4 linked regions of the Caenorhabditis elegans genome follow. The protein of the gene in region 3 interacts with the protein of the main gene of each other region in a pairwise test. Each region holds a gene or a part of one and is shown on either strand. Other genes may lie near its edges. The genes, in order: Y65B4A.7, abu-10, F30H5.3 and abu-14.

Region 1 (6,321 bases), on a different chromosome or scaffold from region 3:
AGTTATGACGTGGCCGCGGAAAAAATTGATGGCCTAGTTTTCTCTTTTCGCGGCCACGTAGCCAGAACAGACTTTTGGGACCGTACAACCAACAAATATTTCTTCCCCTTTCAAAAATACATAAAAACCAGATTTTGACATTTCTAGGCCATCTAGAGGTGCCTCGTGGCCTAGAAATTTGAAAAACTCTTCCAGAAAATTTGTTCTGTATTTCTTGAAAGTGCTCCAACAAATCTGTGCAAATTTTAAAAACGTTTCAAAATATTTATTGAATAAATTCTTTTGTTGCACAAAGAGGTATCAAATCAGACCACCAGATTCGACCGTTGATCATTGTTTCAGTTGATAGGTAGGCAGGCGTGGTTGCCTGAAACCTGCCGGCCTCACGCTGGGCAAGAGGCAGGCCGCCTTAATGTCAGGCAGGCAATGCCTACATGCAAGCCCTACTTCTACGATTATCTCGAAATTTAGCGAGTTTTTATTTGTCCAAAAAAAATCGCAACTGAACAACATGAAAAAGCCGCCAAAAACTTTCATAAAATTCTGTCCGTAGTTTGCCGTTTCTTGCGTCTCATGCTTAATCCCTACTGTAATTATGCTGAGATTTTCGATCTTTTTCACTTTTTGAAAATTTTTGGCAATTCTTTTTAAGTTTGTTGAGATTGTAACTTATGACAAACAGTAACTAAAAAGCGTGGCCGCCAAATTTTCTAGGCCATCAATATCAGTTGCGTCATTTCTTCACCATACTGGACCGAGAAATATTCTAGGACATGTGTTTGCGTCATTCCTCTTCCATTCCTAGTCCCAAAAATTCCAAGACCACTGGTAAGTTTGGCCGAGAAATATTCTAGGCCATCGATGTTAATGACGCCATTTCATACCCGAATTGGCCACTAAAATTCTTAGGTCATCAGTGACGTCACACCTCTTCCAAGCCTTGGAATGAGCATTTCTAGGCCCTCTAATCTAGGCTTGGCCGTCAAATTTCCTAGGCCAGGTGACGCCATCCCTCTTCCATGCTCGACCACTAGGTCAAATGACGTCACTTCTCTTCCACCTACCGCACTTTGATTTCCTAGGCCACCATGTGACGTCACTTCTCTTCCATCTAGGTTTCCCATGCCCTTCTCCTCTCACGTGGTATCAGAGTGTCTCATTTTGGCTTGAATACGTTGATCTACAAAAAATGCGGGAGAAGAGACGCAGAGTTCTCAACTGATTTCGCTTGGTTACGCACGTGCTGCCGTCACATGTTTTTGGGCAAAAAATTCCCGCATATTTTGTAGATCATACCGTAATGGGGTGTCCTCTTGTTAAATATCGAAATTTCACTCAAAAATTTTGAACGTTGAGCTTTTTGTCTCTGGTCAATTGGTCAGCCGCGCAGTGTTCCGGTGTTTGTGCTCATGTTTTCGTGTGCACATTTGTGCTGCTGCTAAGGCGTATTTTGTTCCGGGCGGGGACAGGGGGGAGAAGCAAAAATGTGTCAAATTTTGTTTGTTTTGCCATTGATATTGTCCTTCTGCTCAGAGGATTTCCTCATTTTACGCCGTATGTGCAAAAGCATAATCACCACAATAATTTTGAATATAAGTTTGCAAACGCGCCCTATTGATAATCCTCGCCCGTGTAGTCTGCGTGCACGTGGTGTCAAAGTGTCCCATTTTGGTTTGATCTCCGAGAAATGCGGGAGAAGAGGTGCAGACTTTTCAACTGATTTTGCATGGTTAAGAGTGTGCTGGCGTCACGTTTTTCTGGGGGCAAAAATTCCCGCATTTTTTGTAGATCAAATTGCAAAGCGCCCTATTGATAATCTTAGCCCGTGTAGTCTCTTGTTTAATTTTCAATTTTTCTGGTTCGGCACCTAAACTGTAACTACGACACTCGGCAAAGTTAGACTGTTAAACTCCGCCCACTTAATGGCACCTTTTTTGCAGAAATGTACCCAACCGACAAAGAGCAGACACGGACCACATTTGAGACGAGAAGTCGGCGGAAACGGCTGGCGCAGGTCGCCGCCACAATTGCTAGCGTGATATTACTCTTGTTGGCAGGTAAGTAAAAAACTACGACACTCCGAGACCAAGAAAAAAATCGATAATCGAAATATTGAAAATTGCAAAATTTATTTCGCCGGATCATTTTCCATATCGATTTTCTGAATGGTATGGTGATAGCAATCCTCATCGTAGGCACATCCCTGGTGAACCACGTACTCTTGACCTGAAAAATAGGTTTCGTTCGGTGGAGCACATTTGCATACACTGACCTTTAATCGGGTGGCGACACGCTTTACACTTGAAACATGCCATATGCCAGTGGACATTGAACGCCGACACGCATCTCTCAAAAGTCGGCAATTTGCACGCGTGGCATTTTGGTGACTTGGCCGCCCGGTGACAGTCCGCGCAACGGAGCGCGTTACCGTACGGCGCGGGCATTGGATAACACGGAGTCATGCCAATGACTGTCTGGAATTTTGGAGAAATTTATTGATTTTTTGACGGAATTTAATGAAATAAGGAAAAATCAATAATCGACATATTTATTTCGCAAAAAAAAAAAAACATTATTGATTTTCACGGATTTCTGTCTTCCTCATAAATTGAAATGGAAGAGTTTGCCAAACTAGGCCATTTTGGCTCGGCCATATCTGGGGTAGATTTACGGTGCGTTGCGTGTCGCGTCGCGGCTCGGTTTTTGTAGTAAAACTAAATGTATTTGTCCGTGCATGGAATTCTGGCTTCCCTCATAAATCGAAATGGCAGAGTTTGCCGAACTAGGCCATTTTGGGTCGGAGAGATTTTGTGTAGATTTACGGCGCGTTGCGTGTCGCGTCGCGGCTCGTTTTCAATTGTAAAACTGCTGTATTTGTCCGTGTGGCGTACACAACACTTTTCCACGCGCTGTCCGGCAGGCAATTGTCAGTGGAGCGCAAAAATTTAATTAGGAAGGCCAGAACCCCGTGTCCGTGTGGAGTGCACGACTTTCCCGCGCGTTGTCCGGCGGGCGATTGTCAATGGAGCGCGAAAAATTCAATGAGGAATGCTTTTTGCAAAAACAAATTACATAGGCTTCTGGCCTTCCTTATTGCATTTTTCGCGCTCCATTGACAATCGCCTTAAAGCAGGGGAGTGTGTGTGTGTGTACTCCACACGGACAACTTAAAATGAAAACCGAGCCGCGACGCGACACGCAACGCGCCGTAAATCTACTCCGGCCGTGGCCGAGTCAAAATGGCTTAATTCGGCAAATTCTTACATTTCAAAATATGAGGGAAGCCAGAAACGTGTGTCACATGTTATAAAATTAATTTTGAAAAAAAATTATTAAATTTCGCAAAAATAAATTATCGCTTTTTGTAAGAATTTATCGAATGAATTGATTAAAAATTTATCGAATTTTAGCGAATCAGAAAATATCGATTTTCACTAAGAATTTATCGAATTTTTCGATTTTCGCTAAAATTATCGATTATTGCAATGTTTTACCTGACAAACCGAGCATTTCAGGCATGAAATATGATACATCTCGTCTTGAATTTTGATCACTTTTCCCTGCAAAAATCGATATTTTCAATTGAATATATTTCCAAAAATGTGCTCACAGTTTGAGCTTCTTGACGAGTCAGCGTTGTTGTGCAGCCTTTGCAATGGATATTATATGGAAGAACAATCTTTTGGAGACGTTTATTGTTCGACGAGAACAACATTTTTCGAATTTTTGAAATGATTAATTTAAAAATTTAAAAAGGAGAAAATTGAAGAGAAACGTGGGAAAACGTATTGATTTTTCAAAATTTTATTGATTTTATAATCACGGGGTTCTGGTCTTCCTCATTGAACTTTTCGCGCTCCATTGACAATCGCCTTCCGGACAACACGTGGGAAAGTCGTGCACTCCACACGGATAAATACATTTAGTTTTACAACTAAAATCGAGCCGCGACGCGACACGCAACGCGCCGTAAATTTACCCCAGATATGGCCGAGCCAAAATGGCCTAGTTCGGCAAACTCTTCCATATGAGGGAAGCCATAAATCCGTGTATAATCAAACGCGCAATTTAAAAAAATCGGTAGTTGAAATTTATCGATTTTCCCTCGATCTTATCGATTTTTTAAAAGACTTATCGATTTTTATCCAAATTTATTATTTGAAAAATCAACGTTTATTGATTTTTGTCATGATTTATCGATTTTCTCAAGAGATTATCGATTTTTGCTGTCGATGCACCATGTGCAAACTTCGCCACGTTTTTTCGCGGCGAGACCCAAATTTTTTGAATTTTCAGTTCTCGGTCTGGTATACGGTAGCTTCTACCTCTACCGTCGATATGTGACAGATGCAAATGATAAACGGGATAATGATGAATATTTGCGAAAACTCGTTCGTCAAGTCAATGACTCGCCGGAGACCACGTGGAAAGCCAAATTCAATAAGTTTGGTGTCAAAAATCGATCTTACGGATTCAAATATACGAGAAATCAGACGGCGGTCGAGGAATACGTGGAACAAATTCGAAAATTTTTCGAGTCTGATGCGATGAAGCGGCATTTGGAGTGAGTTAACTCAAATTTGAGCGGGAAACAACGATGCTCCGCGCTCTCGCCGCATGTAGTTTAGCGCGTAAGCTGTGATGCATACGATAGTCCTGCAATGCATCATATTTTACACGCAAATGCAGAAATTACCAAATTTCGAGAAAAATCTATATTTTCCTTTTAAAAATTATCGATTTTTTAAACAAAACTTCTGAATAATTGGATTTTTCCAGAAGTTTTAAAAAGTTTTGGGTACAATTTTAAAAAGACAGCAAAATGTTCGTAAAACACCAGGAAAGAATTTTGCGCTTAATATCTGATGCTTCGTAAACTCCACGGGCTTCCGGCCTTAAAGCCGAGCTACGCGCCGTAAATCTACCCCGGCCGCAACGCGCCGTAAATCTACCCCGGCCGTGGCCGAGCTCAAGTGGCCTAGTTCGGCAAAATCTTCCATTTCAAAATATGAGTGAAGCCAGAGGCGCGTGAATGATGACTTCCACACGGTTCGGTAGAGCGCATTTACACTTATGTACCCTTTGCCGGGCTGCGTTCAAAACCTAAAAATTTGAAATTTTGCGCGTAAGATCTGGTGCATTGGGTTCTGAATTATTTCGACAAAACATGGTGCATCATCCCAAAAATTGCAATTTTGCAGTGAACTTGAGAACTTTAACAGCTCCGATGTTCCGAAAAACTTCGACGCTCGTCAGAAATGGCCGAATTGCCCGTCAATCTCGAATGTTCCAAATCAGGGAGGATGCGGGAGTTGCTTCGCGGTCGCCGCCGCCGGTGTCGCCTCCGACCGTGCCTGTATTCACTCGAATGGAACTTTTAAGTCACTTTTGTCCGAGGAGGATATTATTGGATGCTGCTCGGTGTGCGGAAATTGTTACGGCGGAGATCCACTGAAGGCCTTGACCTATTGGGTTAATCAGGGACTTGTTACAGGTAAGCGGTGACGTCATAGGTGGCCTAGGAACCTTTGATCTACAATGTGATTGAATTTTATATCACGCAATTTGTAATAATTTCTAAAAAAAATTATCGATTTTTCTGAAAATTAACTTGTTCCAAATTTTGAACGAATTTTCTAGAAGATTTTTGCAATTTATCGATTTTTGCAAGCTATCGATTTTTCCCGCAAACTATCGATTTTTCTAGAAAATTATCGATTTTTCTAGAAAATTATTGATTTTTCTAGAAAATTAACGATTTTTCTAGAAAATTTTCGATTTTTCTAAAAAAAATTATCGACTTTTTTCTCAAAAGTATCGATTTTTGCAATTTATCGATTTTTTGAAATTTATCGATTTTCCCTGCAAATTATCGACTTTTTTGAAAATAAGCTTTCCCCAAAAATTTGAACGAATTTTCTAGAAATTATCAACTTTTGCAATTTATCGATTTTTTTTTTGCAATTTATCGATTTTTTGCAAATTATCGATTTTTTGCAAATTATCGATTTTTCCAAACAATAACGATTCTTCTAAGCCCGTGGAAGAGTTTTTCGAAAACCTAGGCCATCTCTATTTCCAGGTGGCCGTGACGGTTGCCGTCCCTACTCGTTTGACCTGTCGTGTGGAGTCCCGTGCTCGCCGGCCACGTTCTTTGAGGCCGAGGAGAAGCGAACATGTATGAAGAGGTGTCAGAATATCTATTACCAGCAGAAATATGAGGAGGATAAACATTTTGGTTAGAGATATTTTTTTTTAGAAAAATAGAGAAAAATTTCTGGGATCTATTCAAAAATGGCAAACTTTTTGGAAATTATCGAT
Region 2 (6,466 bases), on a different chromosome or scaffold from region 3:
TTGACTCCCTATTTATTTCAAATTTAATCGATTTTGATTATATATTATTTTTTCTCTCTCCTCTTTCTCTTTCTTTTTACTTAACATTACTTCCTTCTGAGTAATCCAGTGTCATTCAAATTCGCCAAGAAATTCAATATTAGCTCAAGTTTTCGATATTCTTAAATTTTCAATGTATTCTGTATGTATTATATTGTAATGTATTTCATATTTTAACAGCTCCCGGTCATTTCCACCAATCGATAAGCATAATTAGTATGTTTAATTTTTTTCTTCTTACTCTCAATTCTCCCCCCAACCGCCGTTGATCGGCTTCTTCTAGTCACAGTTGCTGTGTGAATGTCTTAGTATGTGTGACACAACGACGAAACGCGATTTGAACTCAAATAAATGTTTCTCTATTCTGCCAAACTTTTTTCATTGTCCCCAGATTTAAGGAAATTGCTTTCAGCACCATGTCATTTCGCGGAAGCTCGGCAATACTGGTGAACAATAGTGGCGACCCGCCAAACGGAAGGACTATGGCGGCGGCAATAGCGGCGGCCAAGGTTAGTTGGGGAAGAACTTCGTGGAAAGCGTTGTTTCCGTTCCAGTGATTTTCAATTATTTCCCATCACGAACATCTCTTCAAATTACTGATTTTCCAGCCAAGTGGCCTACTGCCGGATGACTTGGGAACCAAGCAAGCCAAAGTGATCATGGACTACGATGCAGTGCTGCCACAAGAGATCAGCGTCACCCAGAATGATGTGAGTCTTGAGAGGAGGACCCCTATTGAAACCAAATATTGTGTGAAATTACGTCTGCTCTTGTTGCAGATTCTCATCGTGTATCGCCTTCCTGGAATGGATGCGGAATATGTGATGGCTGAAAAAGGAGGAAAACGCGGAAAATTGCCTGTCAGCTATATTGAGCTGCTCTAGAAACGCTGCATTCATTAATTTATTGTCTTAGTACTTTGTTCATGTGCCAAAAATGTTTTAGTAAGGTGTCTTATTTATTGTGGAAGATCTCAATTGAAATGTGTCTATTTATTTGACTCCTCAAATGCGCTTATTATTGTATAGGTTATTTAGATTTAAAATAAATGGGAAATTTAAAGATCAAAAATTCGTTAACAATATTGAACACAATATAAAAAGTTTAGTTTTGAAGAAAACTCTCAAATCTCTTCTACGATTGCTGTTTTAGATAATGATAGAACCAACCCTTTGTGAAAATCTTCTGGTTTTCAAACTTCAAATAGAGTTTCCTAAAAGAAAATTGCATTTTTCTCAAATCTTTTTCAGTGATTTTGTTGTAATTTAGACGAAAATTGGTAATTTGAACATCATAGAAATGATTCTTAATCATTTTTTCATTTATATCTTCATTGCATATACTCATTGTGTAAAAGGAAATAATATAAAACTACTTTATGTAATGGCAATAATATTACCGAAATGTACAAATAGTTTGCGTGAAGTCGAAAAAGAAAGACATGGTCAGAAATGAGTTCGTTTAGGCGATCGATCGCTTTGCCTTGCGGTTGGTGTATCTGTATCTAAGACAGCAGGTCTGCTCGGCGCACTTGACGTATCCGCGTTGGCATACGCATTGGTTAGCATCGCAGGAAGTAGTAGCTGACGAATGTTGGGATTGTTGGTTGGTGTACGAAGCGGTGCACGATGACTGGCAAGCTGGCTGGCAAGCTGGGACGCACTGATTGATTGGTTGCGCTTGTTGAACTTGGACTTGGAAGGTTGGCTGAGCTTGTTGGGCGCAATCACAGGATGGCTGGAAGTTTAGATATCCATAGTTAATTTACTGGTCAAAAAGCAATAGTCTTTACCTGAGCCTGTTGGCAAGCGCATGGGTTTTGCTGAACAACTGGGGCACAATCACAAGCTGGCTGAGCTTGTTGGCAGCACGGGTTCTGTTGAACTGGGGCACAGTCGCAAGTTGACTGTAATTCACAAACTTAATGGAAAACTCTGGAGTGTGATTTACCTGAGCCTGTTGTTGGCAGCATGGGTTCTGCTGGACTGGAGCACAATCACAGGCTGGTTGCTGTTGGACTGGGGCACAGTCGCAGGCTGGCTGAAATTACCGGACTAAAAAAAATTGTTCAAAATGCCATACCTGAGCTTGTTGGCAGCATGGGTTCTGTTGAACTGGAGCGCAATCGCAAGATGGTTGCTGTTGGACTGGAGCGCAATCACAGGCTGGCTGAAACTTCAAAAGTTCATCCAACATTTACCAAATATATTGTACCTGAGCTTGTTGGCAACATGGGTTCTGCTGAACTGGAGCACAATCGCAAGCTGGCTGTTGAGCTTGTTGCTGACGGATCTCGATTTGGATGCAGGTCACACATGATGGGTTTTGTTGGCAGTCACAAGCTGGTTGTTGAGCAACTGGAGCACAATCACAGGCTGGTTGTTGTTGTGGCTGCAAAGATGGGTTACTTTTATTCGTCGCTCTTACATTAACAGCCTACCTGGCAGTCACAGGCTGGTTGCTGTTGAACTGGAGCGCAATCGCAGGATGGTTGCTGTTGCTGGCAGGCGCATGGATCTTGTTGAACTGGAGCACAGTTACAAGCCGGCTGCTGCTGTTGTGGCTGGCAAGCACATGGATCTTGCTGAACTGGAGCACAGTTGCACGCAGGCTGCTGCTGCTGTGGCTGGCAAGCACATGGGTCTTGAGCTGGAGCTTGTTGGACCTGAGTGTACTGAACCTGGACATTGATGGTGGATTGTTGGCAGCACGATGGTTGCTGCTGAACTGGGGCGCATGAGCAAGCCTGACGCTTTTCTCTAAGAGTTGGTGCCGAAAGTGCCTGAAAATGGCGGGGAATTTATAAATAAAATGGAATGAAAAAAAAAAGAAATCTCACCAGGGCGACAATAGCAAAAATTGAAAATGCAGAGCGGAACATTGCTGCTTTTGTTAGAGAGTATTCGAAGCCAAGCTACTACTGACAACTCAACTTTTGCTCCTCATATTTATACGCGCCCGCCGGGAGGAGTCATGGCAAGAGGGTAAGACCGGCATGCGCAAGAACAGGCGACAAAAAAGAACGAAGGCAGTTTCAATTGTGCATCAAACACAGATGAGTAGTTATGATCGGATTAGAGCACCTGTGGGAATATGGTAAGGAGGGGGAAAAAAGTTTAGTCAGAGAAAATGAAAACCGTGTGCTGAAAAAATGCGTGCACACAAATAAACATTGTTTGTTTTTGGCTTCTTGCGCACATGAAATTTTGCCGAAGACGCATACTATCCAAAGTGATGTTAGCTATAATATATTTCAGTCTAGTCTTCTAACCAGTTTAAAAACACTTCAATTGTGTCAAGAGAGATATTGGCTCACCAATTCAAAACTCGAGTCTACTAATTTTAGGCCCTACTTTACAAAAAAGTGTGACAGTTGAATCTACTGTACTTTTCCAATTTGTCAGACATTTTTTTCCTCTTTCGAGACAATAAATAACGGCCCAACGTCGCAAATGTGAATGTTTAAAAATTTTGTTTCATTCAATGTCCAGTGTTTTCCAATAGTTCACAGAATGTTCAAGTTGTAGAAGGTTCTCTTTATTCTCATTTGAAATTGTAATTTAATTTGAAAAAAATCGAGGTTAGGTTGCATTGTTAAGCTTAAATTTTTTCAAAGCATGACTAGTAAACGAACGACTATTTTGCACCGATTTGTAAAAAAAAAATTGATTATTATATCTTTTTAGTTGGAGTACCAGCAAGCTATTTTGAAGATCTTTCTTTTGTATCAAGTAATATTGTTCTGAAAGTATTTCTGAAAGGTAGTAGTTTAATATCCCATTTTCAGTAGAGCTTTTTTTCCCAATTTTTGTCTAGACCGTCTTGTAATATATCCGTTATAGTTTTCAACAATACGTGAATGTAGTGACACAGAACTTTCAATCTCCGAACACTTGCATTGAAAAGTTCAAGTGATGCGTTATTTGCAAATAGTCCGTAAATAGAGACCGCGTCATAGAAGAATACAAGCTGAGAAACTGGTTAACGCTTTCAGCTGTTGCATTTGCACAATCTCTCGTTGATTCTTCTCCCTCCCAACAAACAAATACAAAGAACCCCAATTATCACATTCTTCATTACTCAGACCGCTTGCCTTTACTTTAGATACCGGTTGAGGGGTTGAGTTGAGTTCGATTGCCGGCTGGATAAAAGGTTGCAATGTTTGTGTCTGAGGATGAAGGAAAGCAGCACAAAAAGTTGCGCCGGAATCGGATTAAAAGCTCAGGGGTGGTCATGTTACAGGAGAGTTGAGCAACGTACGAGAACCGGTACGTGAGCACTCTGTGCCGGCTCTGTTTTATCAGTGTGCCCGCAAAAACGCATGTACTTGAAATATATGTTCGTTTGATGTGATGAGGAACGTTTTCGAATTATGCGTGTTTTCAGACCATTGGGATGAGCTCAAAAGTTTGCTGGGAGGGGGGGGGGGGGAGGGTGATCTAGTTTTACATTAAATACTCATTCACTAAAAGTATGTTTCCATTAAATTTTATTTTCTGAAAATGGTCAACAATGTTTTTTTCAGTGTTTTTTTTCACGTAAGAAACATGGAGTTCTGACTTTTTCATAATTAACATCAAGGTATTAGTATTTATTGTGAATGGTTTCTCTATAAAACAAAACCTTCTGTTATTTTTAAATATGGATCTACGGTGTAGCTGCAAGCCTTTTCACAAGATGAAAAGATTTTGTAAGAAACTTTTTGAAATTTTTCAAAATGTTTTCAAAAATAAAAAAAAAATGACTGAAGTTTGCTGTAGTCTTCATTTTTGTCCACTAGTGCGTGTAACTTTATTACAAAAGTATAACAAAATCTTCTATTATTTCCAGAAACTGTTTTTTTTTTGCCTGATTGTCAGTGGAGTACACGGTTTCTATTTATTAAAAAAAAAATTAACTTGTGACCATTTTTGCATAAATAAATTGGCAAAATATAATATATCTAGTCATATATTTCCAACTTTTAAACTGTCATAACAATTTTTTAATCATGAAATCATATCAGTATGTGCCAATTGTAGTGTTTCCAAAAAGTGTCTCCCAGCGTTCCATCAGGATTTGGTTCAAAGTTCACAAGCACCATTTTGCTATATGATCTTTATCCGAGCTCTTTTTCTCCGCCAGAGTTGCCAAAATATAGTCTGCGACATTTTTTCCACCTTCTCCCAATTCAACTCAAAAGTATACAGTTGCACGCGATACAATTCTGGATTCCCGTATTGTGCTCCGCTTCGTTTATTTGAACTACCACCAGGCCGAGCAAAAAATTAAATAAGTAACAATGAGTCAAGAATTTTTTGTGGGGGGGGGGGGTTGATAATCAAAGATGAGCAGCAAATGAGTGTAGTCCAATCTTCAAGTGTGTGTAATCAAATAGAACCTTTGATTTTTTGCTCTTTGTGCACATTCGCATACACAAATCTTGCAACAAATATTGCTGCAAATATTGAACATCCCGCTGAAAACAAGCTCATATAATTGAATTAAAGAAAATTCTTTTTAATTTAAAAAAAGAAAAGAAGCAAAAACATATTCATTTAATTCGAATTTAGTTTGTATTGAATTTCTTACAGAAACTTTCTCCTTACACTTCAGAATTCACGAAACGAACTATTATGACTAAGCATTCTGGATATAGTCCGGTCCATCTTGTCACGGAACCCAAACGCAAACATTGAAACTGACCCGAATATAAAACGGTCTGCGCTAGTTACAATTAATATACTTTCCACACATGTTTCGTCTGAACACTGGAGCTTATATAGTATTGTATTCAATTTTCAGCCAATGCTTAAGTACAGAGGTAAGACTTTTTCAGTTATTAGATAGTAGATGTTTGTTTGATCGTTGAACATCAACGAGTTTCTCACATCTAATCAAGAGCCTTTACAATTGTTGATTCTCAAGCCGATATATCTTGTCATGACTGTAGTCGCCAAGACTAGTTGCACGCTTGTTTTTTTTAGAGTGGATGCGTGAAGGTTTTGACTTTTTCTTATCGTGTACTAGGTGTTTGCACAAAGGGATCAAAATTTGAACATTGTACTTCACGTTAAAGTTTGTATTTGACATGGGTTGAAAACTTTGATGATTGAAAACTTTGAAAAAATGTTTAAATTTTACTAACAGTTATGAGTCGTTTGAAAATATAAGCTAATAATTTATATCAAAGTTATCATCCTTCATTGCATATTTTCATCATTTATCTCACGTTATTTTGTTGATTAAAATATGTAACCAAAAACTGTATGTAACCAAAAATTATTAAAATTGGTTACCGATCGGTCTTAAATGTACCTCAACCAACGAAAAAACGTAATATGAACGATCAAAATATGCAATGAATGACGATAATTCAAAAAACTCAACTTCGGACCCGTACGAGACGGAAAAGGTCAAAATTGGAGATACTAGTATAAATTGGACT
Region 3 (10,421 bases):
GCTGCCTATTTGCCTGAATTTTAATTTAAATTAAAATCCGTTGCGAACAAAAAGAATCTCGAAAATTTATTGTCGAAACAAGAAAGAAGAGATGCAAAAACAGGTCATCACATTGTTTGAAAGAATAAGCGGGCGAAAAAAATGGGGATTTTTTATGGTGCAAACGCACCTACTCAGGGGAACAGTCACCAATCATACTTTGGAAACTAATGGCAATACATGAAAAACAAAGAGAAAAAAAAGGTCATTTTCAAAGAAAATTGATTGGAAAAAATTGGAAAAAATTCAAAAAATTAATAAATAATCACCGATATTAGATTTCGTTGTTGAGTGGCGCATCGGCGAGGTACTTGTCACGACAGACGCCGCGGACAGCGACCTGGTGTGGTGGACACTTGTCCTCACACTTCTTCATTATTCTCTCTCCGACGATTCGGAGAACTTGCACCTGACCGTTTGAGCATGGGCCTGAAAAATTGGGATTATTGGGAGGTTTTGGGGGTACCAGAAACACAAAACTCACCATTAGCCGCCGATTCCTTGTTCTTGTTCACAGATCCACGACCTCCAACAACCGGACGTCCTCTAACTGGAGCCGTCTCCTCTTCTTCTCCATCTCCACCTCCACTGACACTTGAGCAACACTGGAATCGGTTCGACAACGTGCTCTTCTGGCATTTGTATCCGGCTGGACAACTGTTTGATCCACTGTTGGAGCACTGAACTGGCGTACCGGTTGATGGGAAGAGCAGGGCACTTCCAGTGGCACAGCCGTTGGCTGCTCCGGATCCAGACGAGGATCCCGGAGAAGCCTTCGATGAGCAGCAGTAGTAGTTCTTGCTCTTCTTCGAGAATGTGCACTTGTATCCACTTGGGCATGGAGATGCTGTACATTGTTTTGGTGTCCCATTCACAACGTATGCGCTTCCACGATCACAAACGTCAGCGGCTTCATCGTCACCGTCCTCCTTTCCATTTGGCTTAGAACTGAAAGTGCTTGGCTTTCCGGATTTCTTCTCGGCGACGATTGCTGACGCCTTCCCACCTCCACAGCAGATGTTCTGTTGAGCGGTTTGAGAGAATTGACAGCTGAATCCACGTGGACAATTTGGACGGGATGGAGTACAGAATCTGGCGGCTTTAGTTCTCAACTCGAGGAATGGAATCTGTCCTGGAATTGGGCAAGTCGACATTGGTCGCGACATCTTCTTCATGCAAACATCCTCGACAGCCTCTTCGCCTTCTGGGCAGGTGCAGGTAGCGTCAAGGCATGAAGATCCACCTTGGCACTGTTCATCAGCTTCGCAAGCCTCTCCGATAAGGGATTTAGCAACACACTTTCCGGCGACCTCGACTTCGTTTGGTCCACAGTCTGGGAGACAAACTCCGTTGAGTTCGTGATGTCCTTCTGGACAAGAGCACACAGATTCCTTGCAGAGACTTCCAGTTGGGCACTGAACTTGGTTACTGCAGATGTCTCCGAGAGATTTCTTATCGAGACAGGCTCCCTCAACCTCAACTTGTTTTTCGGTGCAGCCCTTGGTAGGAGTTGTTGGTCCGACTGGCTCGTCGTTTGTGGTACAACAGAGTTGTGCTCCTGAGATGGCTCTCTGGCAAGAATATCCGGATGGGCAAGTGCTCTGACCAATTGCGCAAGATTGTGGTTCTCCGGTGATTCCGATGAAGGCAACTGAATCATTTGGACATCCTCCCGACATTCCACAGCATTGGAATTGATTGTTAGCGGTGGAGAATTGGCAGAAGAACCCTGTTGGGCAGTTCTGAGAGGCGGCTGTGCAGATTCTTGGAGCATTTGATGCCTTCTCGCGGAATGCGACCTGGTTGTTCGGGCATCCGAGAGCAGCGATCGACTTTGGTGTGGTGATTGGTGTGGCTCCACAGCATTGGTATCTCTGGTTAGCCAACGACCATTGGCAGGAGTATCCATTTGGACATGGAGCATTCGGTGGGTTAAATGGATCACATGGGGCAATCTGGTTGTCCTTCATGAACACATACTCATTAGGTGGGCAACCATCAGAGACAGAAGCGACCTCTCCCTTACAACAGAATCCGGTGGTGAACTCGTTTTGGGTGGATTGACAGGAGTAACCATTTGGACAAGTGATGAATGCTCCAACTGTGCAGGATCTTGGCATCTGGGAGGATTCTTCCAAGTAGAACTCGGCCTTGTTTGGACAGAGATGGTTTCCAGAGCAGCAGTATCCTTGGAAAGCGCCTGGAACATCGGACTGACAGGTGTACCCGGTTGGGCATTGGTTGTTGTTGCTGCTGATGGTACAACGAATCGGGGCCTTGGAGCTTGGTTCCTTGTAAAGAGCCTTTCCAGATGGGCAGAGATCTCCTGTGATCGAGGCACAGCAGTAGTATCTGTTCTTCATGGCGTTGAATCTGCAGAGATAGTTGCTCGGGCAGGATCCCTCCACATTGATCAGACACTCGCGGACTCCCATATCGGCAGCGTTGACGTAAGCCTTCTCGCCTTCTGGGCAGACATCCATGTTGGTGGCTCCACAGCAAACAGAGTTGGAGGACAGCTGATCGTAGGTACAAGCGAAGTTGGTTGGGCAACTGTTGGATAGAGCTGCATTGCACTCATATGGCATATTTGTGTTGGGGTTCACGTAGGCTACATCTCCAGGGGTACAGGCAGCTGAAAGGCAGAAGTTGTTACATTGCTCGAGGGTGGCGAAATTGTTGAGATTTCCGGAGCATCCGTTGTAGGTGAACTGGGTGCACTCCTTGGTGACAATATTGAAGTAGAATCGAGCAGCGGCGGATGAGCTGCAGGAGGATCCTTGTTGTGGTGGAAGAGAGCAGATGTAGGCACGAGTTGGGCAACAACGGTTGACAACTGAGCTTCCAGAGTTTACAGACGTACACTCGTGGGTTCCTGGGCACACCTGGGTGGTCGAGCAGACCATAAGCTGACCGAACTCGTTGCGTTCTGGAGTTCCACCATTTGGACATCCTCCGACTCCACAGTATCCTTCACAATCCTCGCGCGTAGCAAAGTTGTTGGAGTTTCCGTCACATCCATTGTACTGGTAGGATTCACATTCTTGGGTCTGAGAGTTGTAATAGTATCTGTAAGAAGATCCAGATCCGCAGGTGACTCCCTTATGTGGGGAAAGGGTACAGGTGTAGGCCTTGGTCGGGCAGCATCCCCACACGTATCCGTCGAAATAGCATTCATAGTTGACTGGGCAAGAGTTTCCAGCTCCAGAGTTGGAGCAGACGTAGTAGTTTCCTTGGTAATCCTTGTAGGCGTCTCCTTGTGGGCACTGTGGCTCTGGAATAATGTTCTCGCAAGTGTTCTGGCACTCCAACAGGGTCTCGAAGTTGTTATCGTTTCCTTGGCAGCCGGTGTAGTCGAAGATCTCACAGGCACGGGTAACTGCGTTGTACCAGTAACGGCGGACGGATTGCTTGCAGTCTCCGAGGCGGAGGGGTTGGGAGCAGATGGCTTCTGGAATTAATGTTTTGAGGTTTTTAGTGGGCTGAGGAACTGATGATAGGTCTAGGTCGTATTGCAATCTTAGCCTAGGACTGAGTAAACTGAGTAAAAAATTTAAAACTCTAAAACTTACGAGGTCTTGGACAGCAGACATTGTGATCTGACTGGCACTCGTGGGTACTTGGACAGTCGGCACTGGCGGAGCATCTCTGAAAATTTCATTTTTCTCGAAATACGAATTCGAACTCGCGAAACCTCCGGTACCCCCGGTGTTATTTACACTGCACATACCTGATTAGATGACCCAATCTTGAGTGGAGTTCCGTATTTGCATTGCAATTTGGCGCAGAACAACTCGCAATCAGCTGACGACTTGAAATTGTTGTAGTTTCCGAGTGCTCCGTTGTAGGTGAACGCGATGCATCTTCCCTGCTCCGCGTCGTAATAGTATCGCGAGCTCGTGGAGAAGGTCATGGAGAAGCTGCGCTTCATCAACATACCGGCGTCAAAGTTGGTGGATCGGACCAAGTCGACTGGACGGCCTCCGGTGTTGGAGCAGACGCTGGCGACAGTTGGGCAGCAGAGCTGCATGGATCCAATGGAAGTGCACTCGAAGTTAGATGTGCAGGAAGAGGCCGTCTGGCAGTTGCTGACGACTTCATCCTCATTCTGAGCGGATCCGGTGAGGTATTGTGGGGATCCACGCTTACAAGTGTCTCTACAATAGGATTCACAGTGCTCACGAGTCTTGAAGTTGTTTGGTGATTGCATCTCGGTCTCATCCCATGGGTCCCACATGAATTGTTCGCAGGTGCCAGTGACAGCGTTGTACCACCATCTTGGACGGACTCCTGCTGGCGCCGAACTTCCACTATCAGCTTCTCTCTTTGGTTGGATGCAGGTGAAGGCTCTGTTAGGACAGCAGATACCATCGGAGGCTGGATGAATGTCATAAACTCCTTCCATTGCAGTCTTAACGTTGGCCATTGATGTCGTGGAGGTGACACAATCATAGATATCAGCGATATAGATACCATCTCCTTCCTGAGCGTTGTTAGCATCGGTCGCGTAAGCACACGCACCTCCTCCGTTGGCGATGAAGGTGGTATAGTCGGTGGATTGAGAGGAGCAGAATTGAAGTGGGTTGATGTGCTCGCCCATTTGAATGTCAGCATCGTCTGGATCGGTCATGTGAGGGTTGCGAAGTTGGGACACTGGCATTGTGAGGAGATCATCGTCGTATCTAGAAGAAGTTGGAAATTAACGATAAGAAGGTAGCTAGTTAGGTTGTGACTCAGTATCAGACTGACTATGAGGCTTGGCTTTGGTTCAGGCTTAGGTTTAGGCTGAAGCTTGAAGTCACAAAATAGCTCCCACTGAATAAAAACTCACTCTGGAAGTGGGCACTTTGGCACCGGATCTCCGTCTTCTCCGGAATGAAGAACACAAACGACTCCGTCCCTGGTCTTGGCCTGAACATATGGAATTCCATTCACATCCTCCGGGCACTCGCATCTCGACTTTTCGCACCGCGACTCTGGCCATACTGCGGAGCACTGCTCGGCGTACTGACATCCAGACTCTCCTGGATTCTTCTTCAGGTAGCAGTATCCTTGGATGGCGACGAAGTTCGAGAGGCATGTGCAAGATCCTGTGGAGCAGAACATTCCCTGGAAATTTGAATTTTAGAATCTCGAAGAAGTTCAAAATCCACTTACAGTCAAGCAATCGGTGTTGAAGCTGCAAAAATCTCCAACTCTTCCGGATCCGGCAACTCCTTGCCGCTTGTACCGAACATTGCCAGTTCGGCACTTTCCGTCAATGAAGAATTGGCTCTAAAAATTGAGAATTTGTTAAGATTATTCAACAACTGGAATAGATTTTATACTTTCGGACAAATCTTTCGTTCGATTTCCTTCTTGACAAGATTGCAGATAAGGAACGCGTTCTCGTGAGTGTCGGTCTTGCTGAAATTAGAAAAAGTCGTGTTTAGTAACAGCTTCCTTATTCAAAAGTGGTCTTACTTTGTGGCAAGATCGCAATAGATGGAATCAATAGTCATCTCCTCATCACACTTATCACCTTCAGTCGGTATCCGACATCCGGACGTGTCACAACCATCGCCTATCCTGCAAATCGGCTTCTGCTCGACTGCATATGTGCCTCCTGAAACAAAAAGTTTTACTATTCGTCACCACCTGCTCCCAATCCTCAAGGCACGATCGTCTGCGCTCGCGGCCGCTTTAACCCAAATCGGGCAACAGTCACGCCGCCGCCGCCATATTTGCGGCGAATCGAATCTCAGACACTGAGAACCCCCCACACAATGTTTGCCAATTTTATTGTATGTGCTTGGATTTGTTTTGGAACGCGGCGCGGCGATAGAGAGAGAGAGCACTAGAAACACGAAAAAGGTATTATGCAAGTTGAACTCTCTAGTCTGGTGCTCTAAAAATAGAATTTAATTGGACTTGTGACCTGATGGGTGTTTTGATGGTCTGGGTCTGGCAGTTGTGAAGCACCTAAGACCCCCAGGAAGCTTTAAAATTCATGTTAGTGCTGATTTCGTAAAGGCATAGGCCAGTTTAATGCAAAATCTTGGGCTAGAACGAATATTTAAAGACTAGATTTATTTTGAACAATTCTGAGAATAGAATCGTGCTTTGATTTTTAGGTAGTGATAGAAATTTTGACGTTTTAAGTTTTCAAGAGTAAAAAAGAGATGGCTTGCTGTTTTTGAGTGGGGTTTTGAGGTAAAAGTCAAATTTTCAAAAAAATTCCATAAAAACTACCGACTCACAGCATACTTTTTGTATAATAAATAAGGGTCAAAAACCTACAGTGGTGAAACTACTCATTTTTAGGGTTAGAGCTCTTTAGGCTAGACTTGTAGGAACACATTCTTAGTTTTATAAGTTCTTCTCCGACAACTAAGTTTGCAAAAATTATATTTTTATAAAAATATATATGTTAAAATAGTTTCAAGAACTTTATGCTGATATTTCTGAGTTTAAGTATTGTGCTAACCCTCGTAAATTGAATCAAAATTTGAAGAAAACTTTCAAGTTCATATTGCTAGCAAGAAAAAGTCCAAGTGTCAAGTAGCAGAATTCAAACTCTAAAAATTTGAATTAAAGTATTGCTTATGTTAAAGAATTTGATTCAAAAGTTTTCAAAGCAACCATAAAAAAATCCGGCAAAAAAGAAAAAGCTTACCTGCAAGCAGGAGTAAAATAAACCAGTTACGCATTGCTGCGGAATATCAATTGATTGATGTTTGTGATTATTATATAATGAGTGTTCAAAATGAGTAATTGAATACAATAAAGAAGGGCAATTTGGAAATGTGATAGAGACCTGGATATATGAAATGGCTCTTTTGTTATTGATTGAAAATCATACGAAAATAATCAGATAATTCTTTGATTGCCTTCTGATGATGATGGTGCGGGGTGGTTCGAATCCAAGACGAGTTGCAATCGAATGGCTTTTGTGTTGAGCTGAGTCTGCTGGTCAAGGTCAGGGGAGGGAGCGAGGGAGGGGTCACTATATTTGTGTGCTCGCAGAGCCAAGAGAGGAGGGGTTTCTCTTGGTGTTGTTTACCCGCGGTTTCGCAAGATTCTCGTTCGAGAATACAGTTCGGGTCACTCGTGTAATGCGATTTACATGTTGAGAGCGGTGGGGAGGGGAGAGAGAGCAACATCGTAATTGAGCCTGGTACATTGTATACGGAGCATGATAGGGGCTTATGATCGGCATTTCGGAATTTTGTATGATATCATTGAGCTTCGGTTTTCACACTCTCAGTAGTCATACTCGCATTCTCTAATTTTCTTTGAATAGCGGGTTAAAAAACACATCTGATAAGATAAATTAGTAAAAGTCCCCAGAAACATGTGCGATATGTATGCATAATATATGAAAAATCTGTGTTCAACTAAACTTGTACTAGCTCTATAAAAAATGCTAGATATTTCCAATGTTGACAACCTACATCTATGTTGTCATTGGATTTCTCAAGAATTGTCAACTGCCAAGATATTCGTTATATCGTCTTCTATAGTTTGATAACTTATCAGTTCACGATATTTTTTTGGATATGACGTGTAGCCTTACTCATTAGTACCATGGGCCATATTGAACACTAGTTTAAATTTTCATTCATTTCACAATTTCTTCGTCTTCATGAGAAGTCTCTGTTTTTCATACTGTTGCCACGTAGCGTGAAGATTACCAAAGGTATGAAAAGTCAAAGTGGAGTGGAACAGCGCAAGACTAAGTACGTTTGAAATTCAGAAAAATCGGTAAAAATTTTAAGGGGTAAGATTCTCGAAAAAGATCACTGAGCTTTTTGGTTTTCGTGAAACTTGAATTATGAGCTGATTCCGAACTTGAATTATGAGCTGACATCATAAGTTTCTTTTTTTTTAATTTCTACAAAAAATTTCCACGAATACCTTAGGATTTGCGAAACTGATTTTCGTGAAAAATCACCGCTTCGAAAATGGTTTTTTGCAATTCGCAAAAATTTTGAAAGTAACCGTCTTCTTGAGTATCCAGCAGGATGATCCTGTGATTTCAGCCCGCTACTGCACAGAAACACTTTCTGACATCCTTAACACCCGAGGTTTAGTGTATTTTTGTGTAGCATACTTGGCCCAGTTTCCTCTGATCCGCGCGGGCATCCATCCTATCTCATTATAAAGTGTACGTCAAGAGAAACTGATCTTCGCACCAAACATATGTATGTTTTACTGTATGTTTAATGTTGGTGGCGGCGGCGCTGGTTCAAATATTGTACAAACCAACACCGCTTCTCTTCTAATCGGGGCTCTCGCGCGCGCTCACAATGATAAGATCACGCGCGGCGCGGAACTCCAAAAAGAGTGAACTTTTTCGCCGGTCTCACCTCTCTCCGCGAGCAAATCATGACCTGATGAAAAACACGCGCAGCACCGGTGCGCCGCTTTTTTTGTTCCGACTGTTTGTTTTGGGTGGCTAACGACTGTTTTTAGGAAGGCGGGGGGAGTTGAATTGGAATTGCAGTGGATTAAATTGAGAGTTTCTTTATTTAGAATTTTTGTTATAGAACATCTCCGGAGCAACAAAGAGACGGGGGAAAGAAGAAAAAGAAAAATAACCGTAACGAGACAAGGTGTATACCTCGGGAGAATTAAAAAAGACAACTGGGGAAAGAGTAACAGAATCTATCGCCTTCGTTGAGCAGCGCACGGAGCATACCATGGGCATTGTGGTTCTGAAATAAGAAAAGTTGGGGATTTGGAGAAAAATCGTTGTCGATTGTTAATCTTCAGAAACCCCGTTGTGAAAAAATTATTTTTTAAGTCAAGATTTGACTAAAAATGCTAATTTTTGTTATTTCTGAACTTTTGCAGTAATTCCGAACTTTCTCCAATGCTGCAAGCTCACGTGTTTCCAGGCTGTCCCATTACGGTTTGATCTAAAAAAAAATGCGGGAAATTTTCGCCCAAAAAATGTGACGTCAGCACGTTCATAACCACGCAAAATCAGTTGAGAACTCTGCGTCTCAACTCCCGCATTTTTTGTAGATCTATGATACGTAGAGAAAACCGAAATGGAACGCTCTGACACCACGTGCAATCTTGATTGTTTGCAAATTTCTCATAATTTAAAAGAATTCTACGACTAGAAAAAACATTCTGAAAATTTTGGACAAATTTCAAAAAAAATTTTCTTGCGGGACCTATGTCAAAGGCGCAACTCAAGAAAAAGTGTCCAAATACTTGTAAGCTATAAGAAAATCATACCACACTGTGCTTCGCCACCTCTTTCCACCATTAGATAGCCTCTGGGGCAGGACTCCGAGCGTTTTACCCTCCCGTTTGGGCAGCACATTTTGTTAATGCAAGTGTGACCCTGAAATAAACAACGCTTTTAAGTTCCCGAATCTCATTGCTTAAGTTACCTGTGGGCATCCTTTAACTGGATTACAGACCAAAGGCATATTATTCTGTGGGAAGAGCATCGGCACTCGACCGTCTGGACAGGTGTACTTTGCCAGATGGGGCTTCACTATAACAGCTCCAGTAGTAGCAGGTGCTCCGACGATTCTACCACCTTTTACGATTCTTCCAACTACGGGTGGTGCGATAGGCTTGCTCAACGTCACTGGGGCACTGGAGCAGCACACATAGGATTGTATCATTTTTGAGTAGACACATGCTGAAGGCTTCGGACATTTCTGCTTGGCACACTGGATTAGGGTGTAGTCGGAAGATATCACGGGCTGTCTTGGTGCTTCGCAGATGTTTATATTGTCTGGAAGAATTGGGATATTTTGGAAATGGCCAGTTTTTTAAGTGTAAAAATTGAGAGAGCGGCGCCTCACGCCGGGAGAGTTTTCGGCTACACACCGTAGTCGTGCAACGTAGTGCGTGGCTATGTGGAAGCGGCCGACAAGTTCAAGGTTCTGCGCCGAACTATACACGCGGATAAGTTGCGGCGCTAGTGGCGGCGTGAGGCTGTTTGAGGCGTCTCACCGGCGCCCACATGGAAGCCGTAGTTCCACTATTCCAAACTGCGAAAATTCCTTGAAAACTTACTCAAACACCTATCCTTGTAAGGTGAGCTTCCATGTGCACACTTGCACATCATCAAAGTGCAAACAGTGCCATTCGGGCATTGCTCGTCTGCTGTGCATGCCGCTCCAATTGCCGATTTGTCGAGGCAGGCGCTGTTTTTCTGCAAATTTTTGATTTCTGGACTGGCCTGTACCATGCTCCGGCTTAGGTTTAGGCTTAGTCGCCAAGAAAAAAAAACTCACCTCAACCTGATTTTCTTTGCAGCCCGCCAAAACGGGCCTGATGACTTCCTTGGCGACAACAACCTCCTTCACAACCTCATCCGTGTCTACCTGAATGCACCGCCCGTCTTGCTCGCGGAACTTTTTCCCACAGGCACA
Region 4 (6,830 bases), on a different chromosome or scaffold from region 3:
ATTATCATTTCCGGCAGATTATTTTTTAAGGCTCGACGACGAGCTCGGTAATCATTCTTGGCAATCATCACACAAATTCCATCGGGGTGGGTGTTATCTTCTCATATCAATCCGGTGCCGATGCACTCCCCAATCAAATAAAAGGAACAATCCGGAAGTATTCGAGTTTCAAGATGTTGAAGAATAGTTGAACAATCATAAAACAAAGGTGTGGAATCCGATGTTAGCATAGTTTGGATCTCGATCGTTGAACTGTCTATAGTTTCGACGCAAATATTGTGGTGTCTTGTAGACTGTTATTGCTAGAATCAGAAACATAAACCATCAATATCTACATATTGCGAGACCCGAAATTCAGGAAAAATTATTATGATTGTAAGATCATGCCGAAAAGTTGATTATACTGCTTTGATAAAGGTTCAAACGTGGATACCTACATAGGCCTACATAGGCTGTCGTAAAAATATATTATACGGACCACAATAATTAGGTAAGCAATAAATTTTATAGGCGATGTAGGTGTAGGCGATGTAGGCGTGTGGTCACTTTTTATTCTTAAATGAGAAATACTTATGTCGTAAGTTTATTTCATCGAGTCTTGTTCTCAGTATTTCAGAACTAATAGAACTTTTGAAGGTAAGGATTATTTTCTGAAATAGTACACTTTTTTTAATTTGTATTCGGACAGCAGTTTGAAAAAAAAATAATTGTTAAAGTTCAAAATGTTGTTCATCCAAGACAAGGCATCCCCCGCAATACTCCCGTCACTGATAGGAGTCAAATATCCGTGAAAACTGTGTTCATCTCAAAACGAGGCAAATAAGGTCGGCTTCGAAAATTCCGGGTGTTTAGGGTCTCTCACTTGCAATTCCTTGCACAAATGTTTCCTGAGAAGACAATATACAGACAAACATGTGCTCATTTCACCCATTTCCTTCTCTCTCTCTCTCTTTCTCTTTTCTCCAAGAAAAGTATTATAATGTTGGGTGCACCTCCTCCCACCGTGTCAACGTATTACGCATTTTTTGCACCGATCCGGTTTTTTAAAAGCAATCATTGTTTGAATGTAGGTCGCGCATGGAAAAGTACACGTGGATTAGAACACGTTGAAACATACACCAAACATCGTTTGAGAGGAAATTACAACAGGAAAACTGGCTCCAAAACTGGCTATAGAAACAACACTTTTTGATTTTTGGTTCAAAAATTACTCCGTTCCAAATGTTCAGTAGCAATTGTAAAAAAAAAATTTAATGCTATTTTCCTGAGAAATTTCACATTCACAGAAAATCTCTATTTTCAAAACATATATTAAAAGTTGAAATTTTGATGTCTATCAAAAATTGTCAAAGAACATAAATAGGCACAATTGCAATATCAAACAATGTTCCATTCAATTAAGCTAAACCGGAAAATCTCTAGCTCAAAAAGAGAAGTCATACAGTTGGAAACTGTTTCGGTGATCAGTTTACGATGCTCTGCGCAGTAAAGACAGAAGAAACGACTCATGTTGACTTACCTTGATTCATTGAACTTATGTTCAGAGACTTACCGACAAATGACGGGATGAATCATTTGAGAATTTCTGTAAAGGTGCAACTAGAAGAGAAGTTGTACATTGTTTTTATTCGAAATTAGGCAGAAATTAACCGGCAAATACCGAGGTATATTGCAGGGAGCTATAGTACACATAATAATATCAAATTGACATGATTTATGAGTAGGGAAGTTGATATCATAATTGGTTCAAGTATATCTACTACTACTGACAACTTCGACGAGCCCTGAAACATAAACAGGAAAAATTGGTACTAGATTGTGTAACATACAATTGATGCGTACCTCTTCGAAAATATTTTACCGTAGTCTGAATTTGTACGTGATAAGCTCTCGTCAAAAACAAGAAACTACATACATTGCTGCTCACAACGAAATGCGTTCAATTGAAATTTCTATTTGCCAACCGGGAGCCTCCAGACGGTTAAAACTGTCAAATGATGTGATTCCGTATGACTCATCAATGTCTGACCCAGAAATCCGGTCCTCTCGGAGTTTCTAGTTGTTTTCCACGTGTTCCACGTCACAATTGAATTCACATGGCAACCAGCTGCATTGCATTGGTAAAGTGACCATTAAATTCAATACGAAAAGTAAGCAAATACTTCAATTGTGTGAGTTTTAGTTGACCAACTTTTCATCAGGTTCATGAAGAATGTGAATGAAAAATGTTTTTATTCACTGTGAAGTAGGGGAGATCAAGAGATAAAGAACAGGCTAGATTTGGAGATACGAAAAGCGACAAACATGTGTTTTTATGTAAGCAGTCTTCTCCGAGCATCTTTTTATAGATGTTCGAAATACTTGAAGCGAAAAATTGCGCAACTTGAACTAAACAAGATAATCAGTGCGGTTGCTGCTATTTATGGATGATGATTGCTCGCGAGAGGGGGTCAGCAGGGACGACATTCCTACAAAGGGCATAAGGAGAATGAAAAAGTATGCGGGTAGAAGAAGAGAGCAAATGAGCATTGAGAGCATACTGTATTTAGTGATAAGCAGAGATTTTTGATATCTAAGCTAAGAGTGTCCGGAACATTTGGAAACTAGAAGCATTGGTCATGGAATTTTATTTAGAAAAATTGAAAAAGGAAGTCACACACATAATAAATTATGTGCATCTAAAACGTTAAAAAATCCAAGTATTGTACCGATTTTAATATTTCCAGGTACTGAAAGATTTTGAAAAATAAACAATTTTAGCAGCGTTTTTTGAATTGTCTTTGCTTTACATTGAAAGCTTATATCTCGGTTCTCTTTGGTTTTATCAAAAAATTGTCAACAAACCAAATGCGTGTAAAATGTTTATCTATATATCAATAGTAGAACATTTTTTGATATAACTCATGACAGTCGAGATATGAGTCGTCAAATTAGAGCAGTCGTGGTAAAAACTTTTAAAATCACAAATCAAGAAAGATAATTAAATTATTTTTCGCTGTGTGACCATTTTTATTTCAGCATGCGCTTCAAAAAACTACCAAGTTGCGTTATCATATTCTTTGGTTTACTCCGAAAATTTACTGGTAGCTATATAATTTACCAAAGCTGAACAAATAATCCACTCATTTGGTGAATAGTTCTAAAGTATACAAGCTTCAAGTCATACAGGTTATTTCAAAACTACAGTACCCTTCAAGGCTTTGAGGACCTCCGGTTTCCGAGTATGAATTATGAAATGTTTTTCGTCTAGTCCTCATTGTCTCAATCACTATCTCCAGGCAAAAAGATGAGATCTCTTGAGGGTACTGGACTCTCCCTCAATCCTCCGATTCAAGGAGTTGTTTCGAACGCTTAAGCACTCCTGGCTCCGCGCGGGGCGGAGTCGAAGTGTGCCGCGACCGACCGACCGCCGGCGCCTTCCTCCCCATTACCCCCACCCATCTCCCGCCGCTATATAAAAGGTACGCAGTGCCATCTGGACAGAATACAGAGCCTTCGAGTTCTAGTCCTTCTCCTTCTTTTACCCAACTCATTATTCCCCACATTTTTGTTTCAATGGCAGCCCGCAGAGCAGCTTCGATTCTTCTTATCGCCGTTCTGGCCCTCTCCAGTACCTTCGTCTTCGCTGACGAAGAGACTGTCAAGGTAAATTTCTTTTTTAAATACTACTTTTGTACTTTTGAACATTTATTTAAGCATTCAGTCATACTTTCCCTCTTTTATGCTCACTATTATTTTCGTGTTTTCTGTGTACCTAACCATTAGGACACGGCGCGGATGTGGGTATTGAATGCACAATGTGCATGAATAGGAATAATGAATAGGCTTTAGGAACAAGCTGGTTATGATCATGATCTTATTGATCATGCCCAATTGAAGCATAGCGTCTAGTACATCAGGATCCAAATTTCAGCAATCATTTGTTTAAATAACTTTTCAATTTTAACTATGATGCTTCCTTATGACTGTCTAGACTCTTATTTCATTTATTCCCGTCATTGGCCATTCCTTGAGACCTCACTAATACAAAGTGAAGTGGTCATTTCAAGGGGTCAGCTGGCTTCTTCTCCTGCTCTTTCCCCTCCGATAAAAACAGGAAAAATGATAGTGTAAACAAAGGGCGCATGAAGATTCTCTCCGCGATTGCCCCCCAGAGTGTGCGCGCAAAAATCTAAGCACACTGTCTTTCCTTACGGTCAAACAAAAGAGCCCTAAATAACTGCAGAACGAGACCGGATTGGCGTTGTCGCGTGCCAAGAGACAGTGCTGTTCATCCAACTCCAACTCATGCTGCGGAAACAACAACAACGTGCAATGCATCCCAGTTTGTCTGCAACAGTGCCAGAGCTCATGCCAAACATCCCAATGCATCCAACAATGTCAGCCAGCTTGTAACCAACAGTGCGGAGGAAACAACCAAGTCATCCTTCTTCCACAAACCAACAACTGCAACCAATGCCAACAACAATGCATCAGCTCCTGTGCCACCCCAATCTGTGCTCAATCCTGCAACAACCAATGCTCCAGCTCTTGCGGAAACTCTGCTCCACAAATTGTCGTTCTCCAACCACAACAGAACCAATGTGGATCATGCCAGTCTTCCTGCCAACAGACTTGCCCAACATGCAACTGCCAATCTGCTTGTGCTCCAGCCTGTGGAGGAAACAACAACAATCAGCAAATCATCGTTGTTCAACAGGACAACTCATGCTCATCCAACTGTAACAACCAGTGCTCCAGCTCCTGCAGCACCCCAATCTGCATTCAGTCCTGCCAATCCTCCTGCCAACAGGCCTGCCAGCCAACCTGCCAGCCACAATGCATGCCATCCTGCTCGTCTAGCTGCACATCCAACCAGGCTCCAATCGTCATCGTCGCTCAACAAGGAGACTCATGCTCCAACTCGTGCTCCAACCAGTGCCAGTCTGCCTGCCCAACTCCAATCTGTGTCCAACAGTGCAACTCTCAATGTCAATCCCAGTGCTCGAACTCTTGCTCCGGAAACAGCTGCAACCAACAACAGGTAATAATATTGATTTTCCATTAATTCATGAATCAATATTACAGGTCATTGTCCTCCAACAACAAGACAACTGCCAGAATCAATGTCAATCTTCCTGCATGAACACTTGCCAATCATCGGCTACCGTTCTTCAATGCCAGCCAATTTGCCAACAAACCTGCCAGAATACCTGTCAACAAGCCGCTCAAATCGTTGTTCCATGCCAATCGAGCTCTTCTGGATGTGGATGCTCATCTGGATATTCTCAATGCGGTGGATCATGCTGCCGTCGTCGTTAAGCATCCCCTTCCCTGAATTCTATGAACGAATTCTTACCGTATCCGCGTTTTCTATGCGACAACTTCTGTTTTCGTTTCCCCATCCCACTTCTCACATAACTTTTATTATGACATTGTCTGTAAATAAGTGGTAGCCATGTGAGGTGTCTAATTATTTTATTATTGTTCCCTTCTTTTTCATGATGTTTCATTGTCCTTGAGTTTCGACAATAAATTATTCTAATTTAAGAATTATACAAGAAATGTTTTCATTCGGCAAAACATAAAATAAAAAATCACATATATTCACAGTAATCAATCATCATATAATAAATTGTATTGTTTAGTCCTGTTTGAATAGTCCTCGAGCTGAGCGACGAAGGGTTGAGCGACGCTGAAAAAAAAATTTAAAAAGAAGAAAAACAAATGTATCCAAATTAACAGTTTTTCTAAATTTATTATTGATTTTATTCCGAATTTTGCAAATATAAACGAAGTTACTGAAACAAATTCGAATTTTCGACAGAAGTTTCAAAATTTTCGCGTTTTTTATTCATTGGTTTCTCTTGATTTTTTCCTTGATCTTTTTTAATTGTCACCCAAAAAAAAGTCGTCGAAATTTCAAAATTAGCCTAGAAATGAGTAATGTAGCATTAGTTTCAACTCTTTTTTTTCGGAAAACTTTCTGAAAAAATGACAAAGTATCGAATCAAACACTAAAGAATTTTTCAATTAATGAATGAAAATTCCATAATTCGATAGAAAATTAAAAATTTTGAAAAAAGAGCACATGCTTGTTATAAAAATGCACATACCCTTACAGCACCAGCTTTCATCATTGAGCTTCGTCGTTTTTTCTTTTTCTCTGGAACATATTCCTGCACATCGGAATCTTCTTCGGCAATATTCATAGCTTCCAAGATCGAACCGAGAGGAGTAATCGGAATTGGACCATGGGAGTTTTTCTCTGGCGATTTCACTGCGGAGATATTCTTCCAGTTCTCGATTGACTTTTCAATAAGTGCAATATGATATTTGGAGAGACCTGGTTTTAGATCGCAAAGTGTCGATAGAACTCTGGAAAAGATGAAGAATTATTACAATCGTTAAATTTTAGAAATTAACTAACGTTTGAAAACTGATCACTTGAATGTGATTTTCCTTTTCTTTTTCTTCCATTTCTTGATTCAACGAATCGTTCATGCTATCAGTCTCATCAAAGTTTAGAACAGTTCTAGGAGTTTTCGATGGACAATTGGCAAGATTGATCTTCTGGAAAAGCCTTTTTTTAGAAAGAAAATTGGATAATAAGCAATGATACTTTTCTATCAGCCTTCTTCGTCGATAAAATTGATGTTGGCTTGAAACTGAGATCCGAAATAGGACTGTGCCTAACATCTGAAGAAGAACAAGCAGCTATTCCATCAGCTTCAGCTGACTCTCGCGCCTCCTGAATTGCGGATTCAACTTCGAAAAATCGAATTTTTCGCTGACGATTGCCCGTGGTATTGAGCGAGTTGTTGGTAGAGGATGGTTTGCCTGGAGTTGCT

What was found.
Region 1: the proteins of F30H5.3 (region 3) and Y65B4A.7 interact in a two-hybrid assay, tested with the Caenorhabditis elegans proteins (one large-scale study listed by BioGRID).
Region 2: the proteins of F30H5.3 (region 3) and abu-10 interact in a two-hybrid assay, tested with the Caenorhabditis elegans proteins (one large-scale study listed by BioGRID).
Region 4: the proteins of F30H5.3 (region 3) and abu-14 interact in a two-hybrid assay, tested with the Caenorhabditis elegans proteins (one large-scale study listed by BioGRID).

Annotation. Positions count from the first base shown.
Region 1 is NC_003279.8:643,511-649,831, forward strand, and holds Y65B4A.7 (LIM zinc-binding domain-containing protein), read right to left. Parts: upstream 3,733-6,321; 5' UTR 3,716-3,732; coding exon 3,611-3,715; intron 3,561-3,610; coding exon 3,495-3,560; intron 2,475-3,494; coding exon 2,273-2,474; intron 2,227-2,272; coding exon 2,129-2,226; 3' UTR 2,116-2,128; downstream 1-2,115. Other genes in the region: Y65B4A.2 (Peptidase C1A papain C-terminal domain-containing protein), read left to right, coding at 1,941-2,057, 4,297-4,564, 5,202-5,494, 6,083-6,238.
Region 2 is NC_003284.9:3,794,677-3,801,142, reverse strand, and holds abu-10 (Activated in Blocked Unfolded protein response), read right to left. Parts: upstream 2,962-6,466; 5' UTR 2,921-2,961; coding exon 2,879-2,920; intron 2,822-2,878; coding exon 2,480-2,821; intron 2,431-2,479; coding exon 2,254-2,430; intron 2,209-2,253; coding exon 2,122-2,208; intron 2,080-2,121; coding exon 1,990-2,079; intron 1,946-1,989; coding exon 1,832-1,945; intron 1,777-1,831; coding exon 1,501-1,776; 3' UTR 1,402-1,500; downstream 1-1,401. Other genes in the region: F35A5.8 (SH3 domain-containing GRB2-like protein B1), read left to right, coding at 452-548, 648-749, 819-923; F35A5.5 (uncharacterized protein), read left to right, coding at 5,774-5,842.
Region 3 is NC_003281.10:505,190-515,610, forward strand, and holds F30H5.3 (BPTI/Kunitz inhibitor domain-containing protein), read right to left. Parts: upstream 7,029-10,421; 5' UTR 6,729-7,028; coding exon 6,695-6,728; intron 5,779-6,694; exon of another isoform or gene 5,687-5,778; intron 5,645-5,686; coding exon 5,503-5,644; intron 5,446-5,502; coding exon 5,367-5,445; intron 5,314-5,366; coding exon 5,197-5,313; intron 5,149-5,196; coding exon 4,871-5,148; intron 4,722-4,870; coding exon 3,770-4,721; intron 3,688-3,769; coding exon 3,612-3,687; intron 3,491-3,611; coding exon 524-3,490; intron 469-523; coding exon 314-468; 3' UTR 52-313; downstream 1-51. Other genes in the region: T22F7.3 (BPTI/Kunitz inhibitor domain-containing protein), read right to left, coding at 8,686-8,735, 9,268-9,376, 9,426-9,778, 10,063-10,201, 10,284-10,421.
Region 4 is NC_003280.10:9,223,883-9,230,712, reverse strand, and holds abu-14 (Activated in Blocked Unfolded protein response), read left to right. Parts: upstream 1-3,498; 5' UTR 3,499-3,555; coding exon 3,556-3,645; intron 3,646-4,225; coding exon 4,226-5,023; intron 5,024-5,067; coding exon 5,068-5,301; 3' UTR 5,302-5,527; downstream 5,528-6,830. Other genes in the region: ZK1067.3 (uncharacterized protein), read right to left, coding at 5,624-5,674, 6,096-6,357, 6,410-6,552, 6,602-6,830.